Linked DNA regions of Astyanax mexicanus. The protein of the gene in region 2 purifies or fractionates together with the protein of the main gene of each other region. This does not show direct contact. Links are inferred from orthologs where the notes say so. Each region holds a gene or a part of one and is shown on either strand. Other genes may lie near its edges.

Region 1 (7,572 bases), on a different chromosome or scaffold from region 2:
CATTCTGCTTCTAGAGGTAATCACGACATAAAGGTATATCTGGAGATATTTCTCAAGAGCTTTATTGGAGACAGGGTTTGTACGGTCACGAAAAAACTGGAAAAGTCATGGAATTTGAAAATAGCAATTTCCAGGCCTGGATAAGTTTTGGAAAAATAAAAATACCTAGAAAATTTTAGAAAAGTCTAGAAATTGGTCTACAAATCTTTGTGTTTCCGTTTATCGATGGAGAAAATCTATTTTAAGCTAACAAGAACGTCAGCTTAGAATTAATTCAGTAATTTAGCCCTATACTATAGAGCTCTCAGGATCTGAAACCCATTTTATTATTAAAGTTTGTGTGTCAGATTCATTTTAGGCCTACTATAATCCATTTAAATTATACTTTTAGTTGATTTTTGGTTTTATTGTCCATGTCTGCACTGATTTTTTAAAAATCGTATGGTCATGAGAATTTGCCTTTAAGGCATGGAAAAGTCAGGAAAAAAAAGAATGGAAATTTATTGGTTAAAATGTGTATAAACCATGTGGATAGGTTTATCTAGAATGTGTATAATGTATATGTGTGTATATGTGTGTATATATATGTACATGTATATGTGTGTATAATGTATATATGTGTATAAACCATGTGGATAGTTTATATTGCGTTTATTTAAAAATCGTATGGTCATGAAAATTTGCCTTTAAGGCATGGAAAAGTCATGAAAAAAAAAATTTAAATTTATTGGTTAAAATGTGTATAAACCATGTGGATGGGTTTATCTAGAGTCACCTTCTTGAACTGTGTGAAGAGTCTGGAGAATATGAAAGTGCTTTTAGGAGTGATGAATCACTGGGTATCACTTTTTCTCATCCCATAGTGACAAATCCAGAATCTACCTGTTAAACTTGGTGGAGGTGGAATAATAGGTCATGGCTCTTTTTCATGGATAATGAAGAGATAATGAAACTTGTTGTCATTATCTCCTTTCCTGATATTTTTACAGCACTAAACACAGAACAGTTCTTCACCCTTGTGGCCAACTCTCAGAGCAAACGAATGGATGACCAGAGAACTACAATGCCAGAAGTCAGAACGGAGAAACCATTCGTTCCACAGATCATCCTGACCCCGGAGTCGCCTGCACCCAGGAGAGCTTCCTCCAGACCCACGTCCCTCACACAGGATCCAGACCTGCTCACCAAGCCTCCACCAAGATCTGCCACTTTCAGCCCCGTCTCAGAGAAAGAGAGGACTCAGTATGATAATGTTTCCACCAAGGTGAGTAACATTATCTATACTACCTGGTAGTATAGTGGGGGCCTACAACCCCCCACTCTTAAACATTGCTTAGCATCATATCATACAATCTGCATACCTTTTTGCACATTGTAGTACAAAGTTTTGTTCTAAATTAATTCATCTACTGGATTTGTTTCCAAAATTAGTATTTTTTTGTTATCATAAGGATGTCTGTGTGTACTGGGAGTACAGCATAGAAGGCATTACCACCCACAGCGGACAGGGCAGTGGGTGTTAATGATAGACTGTCTAAAATTACAGCACCAGGTACAGTACTGTGGAGAAAATATGTATTTAATACCCTACAAATTTTGCAAGTTTTCTCACCTACAAACAAATTGAGAGGTCTGTAATTTTTATTGTAGGTACACTTTAACTATTAGAGACAGAATAAAAAATAAAAGAATAAAAAAATCACAATGTATGATTTTTAAATAAATAATCAACATTTTATTACATGAAATACGTTTATGATCACCTTCCAACCAGCAAGATAATAAAGCATGGGGGTGGAAACATTTTACTTTGCTGGTGCTTTCCAGCAAATGGGAAGGGACTGTAACATTTTGAAGGAAGGATGGATGGGGTCATGTATCACAAGATTTTAGCCAAAAACTTCTTTCCCTCAGTAAAAGCACTGACGATGGGTTGAGTCTGGGTCTTCCAGCATGACAATGACCCAAAACACATAGATACAAAAATTAAAGTGGATTTTAAGAAGGAAGAAGCATTTCAAGTTCCAAGAGTGGCCTAGCCAGTCTTCACACCTGAAACCAATAGAAAATCTTGTGATGGAGCCGAAACAGAGTGTTGCCAAGCAACAGACCTGAAATCTGAAAGATCTGGAGAAGATCTGTATGGAGGAAGAGTGGGCCAAAATCCCTGCTGCAGTGTGTGCAGACTCGGTCAAGAACTACAGCAAATGTCAGATTTTTTATTGCAAACAAAGGTTTCTGTATCAAATAATAAGTTATGTTTTTTATTGTATCAAATACTTATTTCATACAATTTAAGTGTACCTGAGATAAAAATTACAGATCTCTTCATTCTTTGTAGTTGGGAAAACTGTCTGAATTGCAAAATCGGCAGTGTATCAAATACTTATTTTCCCCACTTTATGTCTGTTTTGAGCCCTTAATAATAAAATAATAAAATTCCATTAGCTACTATTGGAACATGCAGAGCATGGCCAGGGAACAAGATACTAGTTCCTGTCCAAGACATTTGGCCTGTCAGTGTTGTACACTTGTTAAATATAAAGCAAACAAGCTATTTAGTGGCTTTTTGCTATAGCTTTGAGGTTAAAGATCAGTTTAATCACCATAATCTCCCTTCTTTATTGCAGCTTACCTTCAAAGTGTCCGTATGCCTCACTGCTCCCAAACAGGTGAGTGGACTGTAGGAATTGTGGACCAGTATTTATATCCGTTTTTTATGTGCATACCTGTCGATTCCAACACACATTTCTCTTTGCACTTTTCCCTGTCTTTCTCTCAGCAGAGTAACTCAGACGGTCAGCAGAGTTCTTCCCCAGACGTGTTCCTGACGATTGGAACACCAGCAGGGAAAAATTTTCTCCTTCCACTCACTCCTATGGTTTGCGGACCCCCATCTCTTGAGACGACACCCCGGCCCAGGAGACACCGCTCCAGGTCTTCCTCACCCTACCGAGCTCATGGACGAACGTCCCACCCCAGACCCTCCTCTCCTAGGCCTGCACCTCATCCTCCACCCATTGGAACTGATGAAGATTACTTCTCCCTCATTCACAGAGTCCACACAGCTCAGCTTCAGCAGGGAAACGCCGCAGAGAAGAGCCGGGAGCCAGGGAAGGGAAGAGAACGAGGGGATGGGAGGAGAGAGAGAAAGGATAGAGTGAAAAGAAAATAAGCATTATGAATGTACACTGAGCTCAGCTGCCAATTTATCAGAAACACATACTTTACTAAATTAAACCAAGGTTTAAAACTGTGTGAAATAAATGATTATGAAGGATTATCTCACTGTGTGATGATTGCATTTATTTGAGAGTTACATAAAAAATCTATGTGTCTGTGAACATTACACAGAAGCTCAATGGGATTTAGGTCAGGACTTTGACTGGGCCATTCTAACACATAAATATATTCCTTGATCTTAACCATTCCACTGTAGTTCTGGCTGTATGTTTAGGGTCTTGGTGAAAGATCAATCTTCACAGTTTTAAGTCTTTTGCAGCTTCCAACAGGTTTTTTCCAGGATTGCCCTGTATCTACCTTCTGCAACTAGAATTTAAATTGCAGGTCGACTTTGATATCAGTTCTCTTTTACCCTCGTGTGGTCATGCACACACAAACACACACACACACAGTTAAAGGTACGTTTCTTCTTTTCAAGCTATTTTCTCTATTAAAACTACCCTTAAAAATACCCTAAGATATACTACAATAAATCTACCTTGAGATATTACAATACAGCAAATCTACCCTGAGATACTATAATACAGCAAATCTACCCTGAGATATTATAATACAGTACGTCTACCCTGAGATATTATAATACAGCAAATCTACCCTGAGATATTATAATACAGCAAATCTACCCTGAGATACTATAATACAGCAAATCTACCCTGAGATACTATAATACAGCAAATCTACCCTGAGATACTATAATACAGCAAATCTACCCTGAGATATTACAATACAGTACGTCTACCCTGAGATATTATAATACAGCAAATCTACCCTGAGATATTATAATACAGTAAATCTACCCTGAATTATTATAATACAGTAAAACTACCCTGAAATATTAAAACACAGTAAAAAAAACTACAAACTAAAACAAAAATAGTATGCCAGATGTAAACCACACTTCACCATTATTACTGTCCCCTTCCCAAAAATACAGCTAATTACCAGAATTAAAAAAAAGGGAATCATGGTTTTATCCATGATTTAGTCACAAAATAGTGTTGTGATTAATACAATTATTTTTAAGGGATTGGCACCAATTATAAAAATCTGTTTATTTATTTTATTCACATTTAAATACCAATTATTCATATATTATTTATATATATATTTATATATATATATATAAATAAAGCTAAATAAGGAAAGATAAAGTGTGATTAATTGTGAGTTTTGTGTTCTACGCTGCTAATAAAAAATAAATTAATTTAAAAAAAGAAAGTGGTGAAGTTGGTTTTGCTGTTGCAGTTCCACCTTTAACCGGTGGGGGCAGTGTAATCCGCCAGCGCGGGCTCCAGTTCACCCGGCCCCAGCAGCGGGTGAAAGGTCGAGGGGGCGGAGCTAGTTAGCATTGCGTCCACAACACGTTCAGAGTAGCGGAGAAGCTAAAACGATTAAACAGTTTTATTTTACATTTATAGGTTTATAATTCAGTTCTTCTACCGGGAGAGGAACATGCCTACTTTTAACGGAAAACCGGACGTTACGTTTGTATGTATTTCTGTGTTTTTTATGGATAGAATATCACGGCTAGGCTACCAAGTATGGTATCTGTGGGAAGCTAACAGCTAATAATGGCTAACTTTCGTTACTATTTTAAAATCAGTTATTAAGATTTATTTAGGCAGAATTAGATAAATATGAAACATACACTGTAGTAGATAAATAGGACTGGCTGATACTTTTGCTGTGAGGACTGTTGTTTCTTTTTAGAACGTATTTTTGACACTTTTGTGGCTAACCCTAGCTAGTTAGCTATATTTACAAAACAGAGAAATCCGGTCTGAGATCAGTGTAATAAATTAGAAATGCATTTTGAATATTAGAGTTAACACTGGCTTTATAACCAGCTTGCTAGCTATATAAGCTGTTCTATAATGTCCCTATTCTTCATTTTGAGTTGGTATAATAGGATGAATTGTACTTTTTTTGTAATTAAAATTATTTGTAATTAAAATACATTCAAAGACATTCATAATACATAACTAAGGTGGACTATGAAGCTCTACAACGTAACTTATATTACATATGATTACTGCTACTGTTTCATTGGCTGGTTTATCATCTATTCTGATGAACAACAACAGGTCTCAATTAGTTTTCTGTCCATCAAAACATTAGAAAAAAGAAACTACATATGTTCTACACATGTTCATATTTATGTAATTGACGTATATTGTAATTGATGTAATTTAATTCAAGTATAATTGAATTTAATATACTTAAATTATGCATTACCTTGCTGTATCCAAGTCTTTAAAATGGTTCAATTCAAATGTATAAGTCTGAAGTTCTGAATTCTGCATTCTGCCCTGGTGTTTGTAAAGTTAACTAACTCCATAAATGAATCTCTCAGGAAGAAGATGACTTGCCCTATGAAGAGGAAATCATCAGGAATCCATATTCAGTCAAGTGTTGGATGCGCTACATTGAACACAAGCAAAGTGGCTCCAAGTCAGTGCTTAATATGATCTACGAGCGAGCGCTGAAGGAGCTACCTGGCAGGTAAATGCAGCTACTCCATTTAAAACCATTCATTGTATTTTGATGGGAAAAAAGTTAATGGTTGTTGTTTTATGTATGTAAAAAACAATGTATGTATTTGTTTTTCTTCAACTACAGTTACAAACTGTGGTACAACTATTTGAGGGAGCGGAGGAAGCAGGTCAAGGGAAAATGCGTAACAGATCCCGCTTATGAGGAAATCAACAACTGCCATGAGAGAGCACTGGTGTTTATGCACAAGGTAAAATTACTAGTATCCTATTCTGGAGTTACAACAAATTACTTTTCATGTGATTTCACAGTTGCTTGTTTTAATGTTTTACTGGGAAGGACAATATTTTTTGTCTTCTTTTTCCACAATGCTTTTCTGGTCTATCACCAGCTCACATCATGTGATTTATATGTATACAAACGAATGCACTTTTAGTTGATTAGCTCAGTTGCCAGCTCTGTAGGTTTTAAAATGTTTTTTTTTTTTAATAATTCGATGTAAAATGAATGTGTAAAATGAAAATGATTAGATGAAAAATGTTAGCCTACTAATATGTATTTTTTATCAATCATCAAATAAGAGAGTGATTTAGTTAAATGAATGTATTTGTTGTAGCTGTTATAATGTATTTAATTTGTATATTTATTACAATTTAAAAGTAAGCATGTTAATGATAATGTTAATGATATCCCCCACAATTTTGGGCATTTTCTTGCTTTTTCTCACCAGATTCATTGTTTGTGCAGGAGGCAGAAATACACAGCATTCCTTAACATCAGACATTAATACCACCATAAATTAGTGTCTTCTAGGGGTGTCACGATTTCGATATTTTATCAAAATCGATCGAAATTATGACATGGTCTTGAGCCTCGAAGTAAAAAAGAGGATCGACGATCCCTCCCACAAATGCCGCAGCACGCTCAGCAAATGGCGCAGCGCACTGTAGCCCAGGGTTTTTCAACAGAGAGAGAGCGACTGCTTGAGCGCAGCCCCACCCTCCGACAAAAAGTTCCGTTGTGTGTGAGAGAGACACACACACACACACACACACACACACACACGAGCCTCTCACACGCAGAACAGCTGCCTTTCAACCGCAGAGGAGAAGCTGAAAACGGATTTATAGAACTAAAGAAATAAAGAAAATCGTAAAAAGTAAAAAAAAAAAAAAAAAAGAAAATCAAGAATCAAATCGTGACCCTAAAATCGGAAATAAAATCGAATCGAGGATTTAGAGAATCGTGACACCCCTAGTGTCTTCTGTCCTGTGATTTCTAAAAGTTTTGAACTAATAATAGATTTTGCACTTCATGCTTCTTCTTCTTTTTTTTTCCAGATGCCGAGGATATGGCTGGATTACTGTCAGTTCATTGTGTCTCAGTGCAAAATCACAAGGAGCCGTCGTACCTTCGACCGAGCGCTCAGAGCCCTACCCATCACTCAGCATTCCCGAATCTGGCCTCTGTACCTCAAGTTTGCACGAAACTTACCTCTGCCTGAGACCGCCATTCGCGTTTATCGTAGATACCTCAAGGTAAGAAGGTGTAATTGTAGAGCAGTGACTCCAACTTGTTATTGAACCCTACTGAATATACAGAGCATAATACTGTACAATTGCCGTATTTCTTGCACTATAAGGCGCACTTCAAATCTTTTAGTTTTCCCAAAAATCTTCAGTGTGGCTTATGTATGAATTTTACCAGTCAGGTATTAAGGAGCAGTAAATCCATTTTGCTGATGGATTGTACAGTGTTGTAAAGGTGTTTCAGTTTAGTTCCTTAGCAGAGCAACTGGAACAGAATTAGCATTAGCTGCTATCTCTCTTCGTCATT
Region 2 (7,010 bases):
TTACTGCTCCTTACAACCTGACGAGTAAAATCCATACAAAAGGCGCACCGTATTATAAGACGCACTGTCAATTTTTGTGAAAATTAAAAGTTTTTAAGTGCGCCTTATAGTCCGAAAAATACGGTAATCAGACTACGAAGGAACACATAAGGAATCATGTAGTAACTTAAAAATAAAGTTAAATAAACCAAAATGTGAAGTATTTAGATGCTCTTATCTGGGGAGCTGTTTGTTAACTTGTGGTTTATGATGCTGGTAACTCTGATTAATTTATCCTCTATAACAGAGGAAACTCCTGATGAGTGCCAGTTTCATCAGTATAATGTTTTTGATGGTTTTTGTGGCGACTGCGCCTGAGTATACTTTCAAAGTTAATAAAATTCTTCTTTTCGGATTGACTGACCTTCATTTTTTCTTAAAGTATCTTTTTCTTTATTTAGTTGAGTAGTTGTTGCTTCTCATAATATGTATTAGAGTACTACCTCATAAAACTGACTGAGAAAATGCAGCAGAGTGCAAAACTGGTAATCTAAACAACAGGAGGAGCTACTTTAAAAATAAATACTAAATAATTCCATATGTTTTTTTATAGTTTGGATGAGTTTAGTATTAAAGCAGCACTAAGTAGGATTTTCTTGATTTTTTATCTTTTTAAAGAAGTAAAATTACAGTGTGAAACTCACTGCAGCGCTGCATTGAGGTGTAATAGGAGGAATAACGGTGCTCTCGTGTCTGTGCCGAAGCGCCTCTGAGCTCAAACCAGACTGTAAATTTTCTGAGGCGACCGCGAACAACGCTCGCAAGAACTGCGACCTGCTTTCCGACCTTTAGTTCTAACAGTTCTACAAGGACTACTGGTTCATTCTTTACAAACTAACATACAGACACTCTGGCAGAAGCTGGAAAGAGACCCAATATGTCTGTAAAAGCCAGAAAACAAGAAAGAGAAACTAATCCGCCTGAAACATTTATTACACTCTGCAACTGTAGGGGGAGCCCACGATCACAAAATCTCAATCCTACCTAGTGGAGCTTTAATCTACAATGCAGAACATTTTAAATAATGTAAAAAACATTTAATTATCATAAATGACACTACTTACTGATTCCTTTGGATTTGGGAGCAATTTTTTCAATGTCCTTCAGTTGAAAAACATCCTTCTGAAAAAATAATAATACAGTTTTAATCAGACAGTCACTGCAGTGGAAACCAGTTGGGGGCTTCTGTCTGCCTCCCAGAGCTGTAGAATTACAGTATGAGTCCTAACTAAAGCTGGAATTAAAAATCTCCAATAATTTAGTTATTTTTTAAAGAGAATACATCAGAAACACTGTAAATTTAACTGACAGTTTACTTAAAAAAACTAAATTAATTTACTTACTGTTTCAAAAAATATCTCCATCATACGAGACCTCTTCTCTTCCAAACTGAGTCCTTTCTTCTTCGACTGTTTCAGAGAGTAAAATTTTAGTAAAAACTGACATTATTAGGCAGATGACAACGCAATCTTAAAATCAACAAACACTAATAATTTTTATTATTTACATTGTGGCCAAAATAAAATTTCAAAAAGACTTAAAAATAAAAATCACCCAGAAGCTTCAGCCAGTATTTTCTTCCAGTAATGATTTCTTTTATGATATATTGTTTTAGGCTTTTATATGGTTTTAGGCAATTACGTGAATATTTTCTCCTTATTGATGTGTAAACTGCTCTTTTATTATTTTAAGATACTAAGTTATTACTTTGAGATACTATCTCACTATTTTGAGATGCTTCCCATTTTTAAGGGACTAATAATAATGAAATTTATAACGAAATAGCCTTTCAAAATAATGACTTTGTATGTCAAAAAAACAACTTACTTATTTCAAGATACTGTGTAATTTTGACATGCTATCTTGATATTTTGAGATACTAAGTCTTTATTTTGAGATATTAAATCTTTATTTTAAGATAGTAAATCTTTATTTTAAGATAGTAAATCTTTATTTTGAGATACTAAGTAATTATTCAGCGATACTAAATCTTTATTTTGAGATACTAAGTCTTTATTTTGAGATACTAAGTCTTTATTTTGAGATACTAAGTCTTTATTTTGAGGTACAAATTCTTTATTTTGAGGTACCAAGTCTTTATTTTGAGATACTAAGTCTTTATTTTGAGATACCAAGTCTTTATTTTCAGATACTAAGTCTTTATTTTGAGATACCAAGTCTTTATTTTGAGATACTAAGTCTTTATTTTGAGATACCAAGTCTTTATTTTGAGGTACCAAGTCTTTATTTTGAGGTACAAATTCTTTATTTTGAGATACTAAGCCTTTATTTTGAAATAAAGAAAGAAATAAAAACAGTATTATTGTGATTATTGTTTTACTGTTTGCTGTACTCTACTATCTCTGATATAAAATGATTAAGTTATTTAATTAATTTTAATGAAAAATGAAGACCGTGTTCCCGCCCGGTTTCGAACCGAGGACCTTTCGCGTGTTAGGCGAACGTGATAACCACTACACTACGGGAACTGATTACCACGTACAGACACTCCAGCCTTTAAACCGGTGGAGTAAAATAACATTTTATACGATTTATATATTTTAAATCACGTTATAAACACAGTAAAACACATAAAAACAAACTCACCTTTCACTGATTTTATCTGTTTAAACTAAAAGACTAAGACAAAACACCACAACCTGCAGTAACTAATAAACTAACGTTACACCAACAGCGGCTGTATTTAAGAGAACTCTGACTACAAATCCAGCAGATTAATAAAGTTTTTAAACTTTAATATAGATCGTTATTTATACTAAAGCGATGTGAGGCCTATGGTTTTCTCTTAGACTGTTAATTAACGCTGTTGATTTAGCTAAAGCTAAAAACAAACCCAAACAAACCACGCACCTAAAACTACCTAAAACTGTGTTTAATATCACACAATCCGCTCATTTTCACCTCCAGTAAAATGTTTTATTACTGTAAATCTATTAAAGTAGATATTAAACACAGTATTAAAGTCCTACCATTTTTAAATCACTCCTCTGACTGAAGCTCCTCTGATTCAGTTCTCAACCTGCTCCACATTTCCCGCCAACTGCCTTCATTCCTATACCGGAATCGGTTCTTTTCTTAGAATCATTCGAACCGAATCAGGTTCACAGGACACCATAGACTGTATATGCAGGACACAAACATTTCAGCCGGATTTTTGAATCGGTTCTTTTCAAAGAATCATTCGAACCAATTCAGTTTCACTTATGAACCTGAATTTATTATCTGCATGTACATGACACAAAAAAAATCTTCTGGATTTTTGAGTCAGGTTCAGGATTGAACCAGGGTGTATTATATACATATACAGGACACAAAAGATTGAACAGAATTGGTTATTTTTAAGTTTTATTATATACAGCTCTGGGAAAAATGAAGACACCACTTTAGTTTATGAATCAGTTTCTCTAAGTTAGCTATTTATAGGTTTATGTTTGAGTAAAATGAACATTGTTGTTTTATTCTATAAACTACGGACAACACGTCTCCCAAATTCCAAATAAAAATATTGTAATTTAGAGCATTTATTTGCAGAAAATGAGAAATGCCTGAAATAACAAAAAAGATGCGGAGCTTCAAATAATTTTAAATAATGCAAAGAAAACAAGTTCGTATTCATACATTTTAAGAATGCAGAAATCAATATTTGGTAGAATAACCCTGTTTTTAATCACAGTTTTCATGCATCTTGGCATCATGTTCTCTTCCACCAGTCTTACACACTGCTTTTGGATAACTTTGTCATCTTGTTGCACAATCCAACCAGTTCAGCTTGGTTTAATGGCTTGTGATCATCCATCTTCCTCTTGATTATTTTCCACAGGTTTTCAATTTGGTAAAATAAAAAAAATAATAATTTTTGAGTGGTCTCTTATTTTTATACAGAGCTGGAGGTTACAGTAGGGGGCAGCACTGAGTTTATACCGCCTCTCTCTCCGCGCTGCAGGCCGGAGTTTCCGCCGCCGTGTTTCCGGTGTGTGTGTGAGAGTGTGTGTGAGTGTTTAGCGCGGTGTGTTTAGTTTTATACAGGGAGTTTAAATCGAATTCTGATCCGGATTCAGCTTTAATTCAGAACTACTGACCCAGAGCAGCAAAAGCAGCAGCATGGCGGAGGTAAGGCGGTATTATTATTATTCACGGGACAGACCATAATACTCTCCTCTCTATTCACTACACCCAGTTCTACTCTCACCTCTTTAATAAAACACTTATTATTATATATAATTATTATAATACAGACCACAATACTCTCCTCTCTATTCACTACACCCTGCTTTACTCTCACCTCTTTAATAAAACACTGATTATTATACCGGTTATACAGTAATCTGTTACATAATCACACTTAAATAACCAACAGATCCCGTTATTAGTGTATTAATATTCACATTAATAACTCAACTAACTAACGTTCCTGTTTTTTAAGCTTAACACCAGCATTACATTCGCTTTATAACTAGAGAACACTAACTTACTCTAATTACCTTTATTCTCTGTTCACTGAGATATGTGTCTGATGTTGGCCCTTTAAACAGGTTCAGTATAGTTTTGTTCATTTTCTGAGGAGATCTATCTATTTAAAAAGAGACACAGCCACTGGGGGTTAATGTAGAGTAAATAAAGGATTAATCTGGTGTGAAATGGACTTGGGTTGTAGTGAAACATGATAATGATTATAAACTTTTGTAGAATACCCCACCTCTGTTCTTCCTTAGCATTCCCAAATACAGCACTTGCTGATGCTCCCAACAGGCTTACAAAATGCTAGAGATTAGGGCTGCAACTACTGACTACTTTAGTAGTCGAGTAATCTGCTGATTATTTGTTTGATTAGTTGATTAGTCACGATTATTTCTTGTCCTGCCCTCCATCTGTACTTCCTTCTAGTGAGAACAGCTAAACATTTAGTCCCCAAGACCAGCTTTGTCACTTATGTATTTTTTTTATTATTATTATTTTTTTTTTACTATTTTTCAAAGATATACCTCCCCAAAAAGATTTTGTCTCAGAAAATAAAGGTTTCTTTTTTATTAAAGTCTGTAGTTACTCTAATATATGACTTAATTTTAATGTAGTGTACAGAGGACATTATCTGTCTCTAACACTTATCCATGTTAATGAAGGAGTGAATCCTGTTTAAACTCTCCTCAGCAGTTCTCTGCAGTAATTTAACATTAACCACGGGTAATATAAAGCTCAGTGTTTAAACTGTACACAACCAGTAAAGACAGACTGTAGAGTTTTTTGTGGAGTTAAATGTGTTTAATGTTGTGTTTAATGGAGACAGAGCTGCTATTACACTGTATACTTGTCTCTCTCCTGCTCTCTCTCATGCTTTGCAAGTCCCACCCATACTGAAACCGCATTGGATAAATAAGCATGAGGAGAGGCCAATCAGAATACTCAGGATTTGTCACTCTTACTCAACAATGAGACTCTGCAACAACTACATTCTAGATAAATATGTTAAAGGGTTTAAAATGGCTCTCATTCTACTTTATTACAAGTAACTTAATTTATGGACTTATCTGATTGGATATTTTTGTATGTGTGGATTACTTGGATTGTTTCCAAAATCTGCTTGAAATTTCATGTCAGTCGCCCATCATCAAAACATTGATTCATTCAGTATTTTTTCTTGAGTTATATACTCTGCCTGTTATATAGCATCTGCCTTATTTGAATCAGTTTTGTGTCTGTTGTGTCTGCAGGAGGTGCAGAAGCACTCGGTCCACACTCTGCTCTTTAGATCTCTGAAGAGAACCCATGACATGTTCGTGTCTGATCACGCTAAACCAGTGTCCCTGGACGAGGAGAGGTGAGTCTCTGGCTTTAAAAACCTGAAAGATGAGCGTGGTCATTGGATCTATGGAATAAGGTCATGTGAAGGTCTGATGAGTCCAGATTTGCACTGTTCTGGAGTGATGGAGCATCAGGGTTAGAAGAACTAGAAGAAATCCAGAGTCTGATATTTACTCTCTCTAGCAAACTGAAGCATTTTTAGATGAAAAATGATTTTTTTTTTTTTATGGCTGTGTGAACGTGCCAAATCAGCCTTTTTTTAAATTAGATTTGAGTCACTTTCATAACGGTCAAATCTGAATTTATGCGTCTTTTTGCTTTTACGCATTAGTATTAGCATTAGCCCTACATGCTTCTCTCTCGTACCCACACTGCATCTCTTGGTGCAGCTGTGCAGCTATAGCTGCAAAATCAGCAAAAGCAAACCTCCTGGCCTTTTTTCTCCTCCTGGACCTGAGCATGAACTTCAGACCAGCTGTTTCTCTCCACTCTCCAGTTAAAGATGCTCCACATATGATCTGCTAACTCATCCATTTCCCTTTATAAAGCTACTAGTTTCTTGTCTCTCTAATATGAGGGTTTTTTTGTTGTTGGTGAAGAAGGAGGCATTTATACAGGTATCAGTGTGCAGCATGTGAGGCGTTTCTGGTACAGATTTGTTCACATTACACACAGATACAGATCACTTACATTTACAGTGAATGTGAACCATCAGGATAAACAAATCTGATCTGAGCAAAAAAAAATCTGATTTAAGCAACATGGCTTATAATGTGAACGTAGCCTAGGATGTTTTCCCTGCTTGATGCACGCCAATAATTTGACACGATCGCGGTCTATGTCTTTCCAAGTATATGTCTTTTAGAATAGCTGTATTTGCACATTAATGAGTTTACAAATGTTTATATAGAATTTTTTTCAGTGTATTTTCAATGTATTAATTATGGACCTGTGAACTTGTTTCCTCAGTCACAAGATAAAGATGGCTGCTAAGCTAAGAGCTGAGTATGGACCAGTGTTACACATGCCCGTGCTGAAAGAAGTCCGGGGAAAACCTCTTAACTCCTCTGATCCATTGGACAACCTGGGATACCCAGCAATCGGTGAGTGAGTTTTTTTTAGAGACACAGGAATGCACAAACATAAGATGA

The links.
Region 1: the proteins of plrg1 (region 2) and xab2 purify together in Homo sapiens (affinity purification with mass spectrometry; 3 studies listed by BioGRID and IntAct, counting the BioPlex papers as one, with this or other methods). This does not show direct contact. The link is inferred for Astyanax mexicanus from reciprocal best matches to the Homo sapiens genes PLRG1 and XAB2.

The regions. Positions count from the first base shown.
Region 1 is NC_064410.1:4,830,347-4,837,918, reverse strand, and holds the start of xab2 (pre-mRNA-splicing factor SYF1), read left to right. Parts: upstream 1-4,555; 5' UTR 4,556-4,695; coding exon 4,696-4,731; intron 4,732-5,596; coding exon 5,597-5,745; intron 5,746-5,862; coding exon 5,863-5,986; intron 5,987-7,076; coding exon 7,077-7,274; intron 7,275-7,572. Other genes in the region: uncharacterized protein LOC103046674, read left to right, coding at 990-1,264, 2,631-2,672, 2,783-3,175. UniProt on the Homo sapiens protein: Involved in pre-mRNA splicing as component of the spliceosome. Involved in transcription-coupled repair (TCR), transcription and pre-mRNA splicing.
Region 2 is NC_064432.1:13,738,414-13,745,423, reverse strand, and holds the start of plrg1 (pleiotropic regulator 1), read left to right. Parts: upstream 1-4,006; 5' UTR 4,007-4,161; coding exon 4,162-4,170; intron 4,171-5,768; coding exon 5,769-5,875; intron 5,876-6,828; coding exon 6,829-6,962; intron 6,963-7,010. Other genes in the region: mnd1 (meiotic nuclear division protein 1 homolog), read right to left, coding at 1,104-1,161, 1,383-1,448, 3,030-3,032. UniProt on the Homo sapiens protein: Involved in pre-mRNA splicing as component of the spliceosome. Component of the PRP19-CDC5L complex that forms an integral part of the spliceosome and is required for activating pre-mRNA splicing.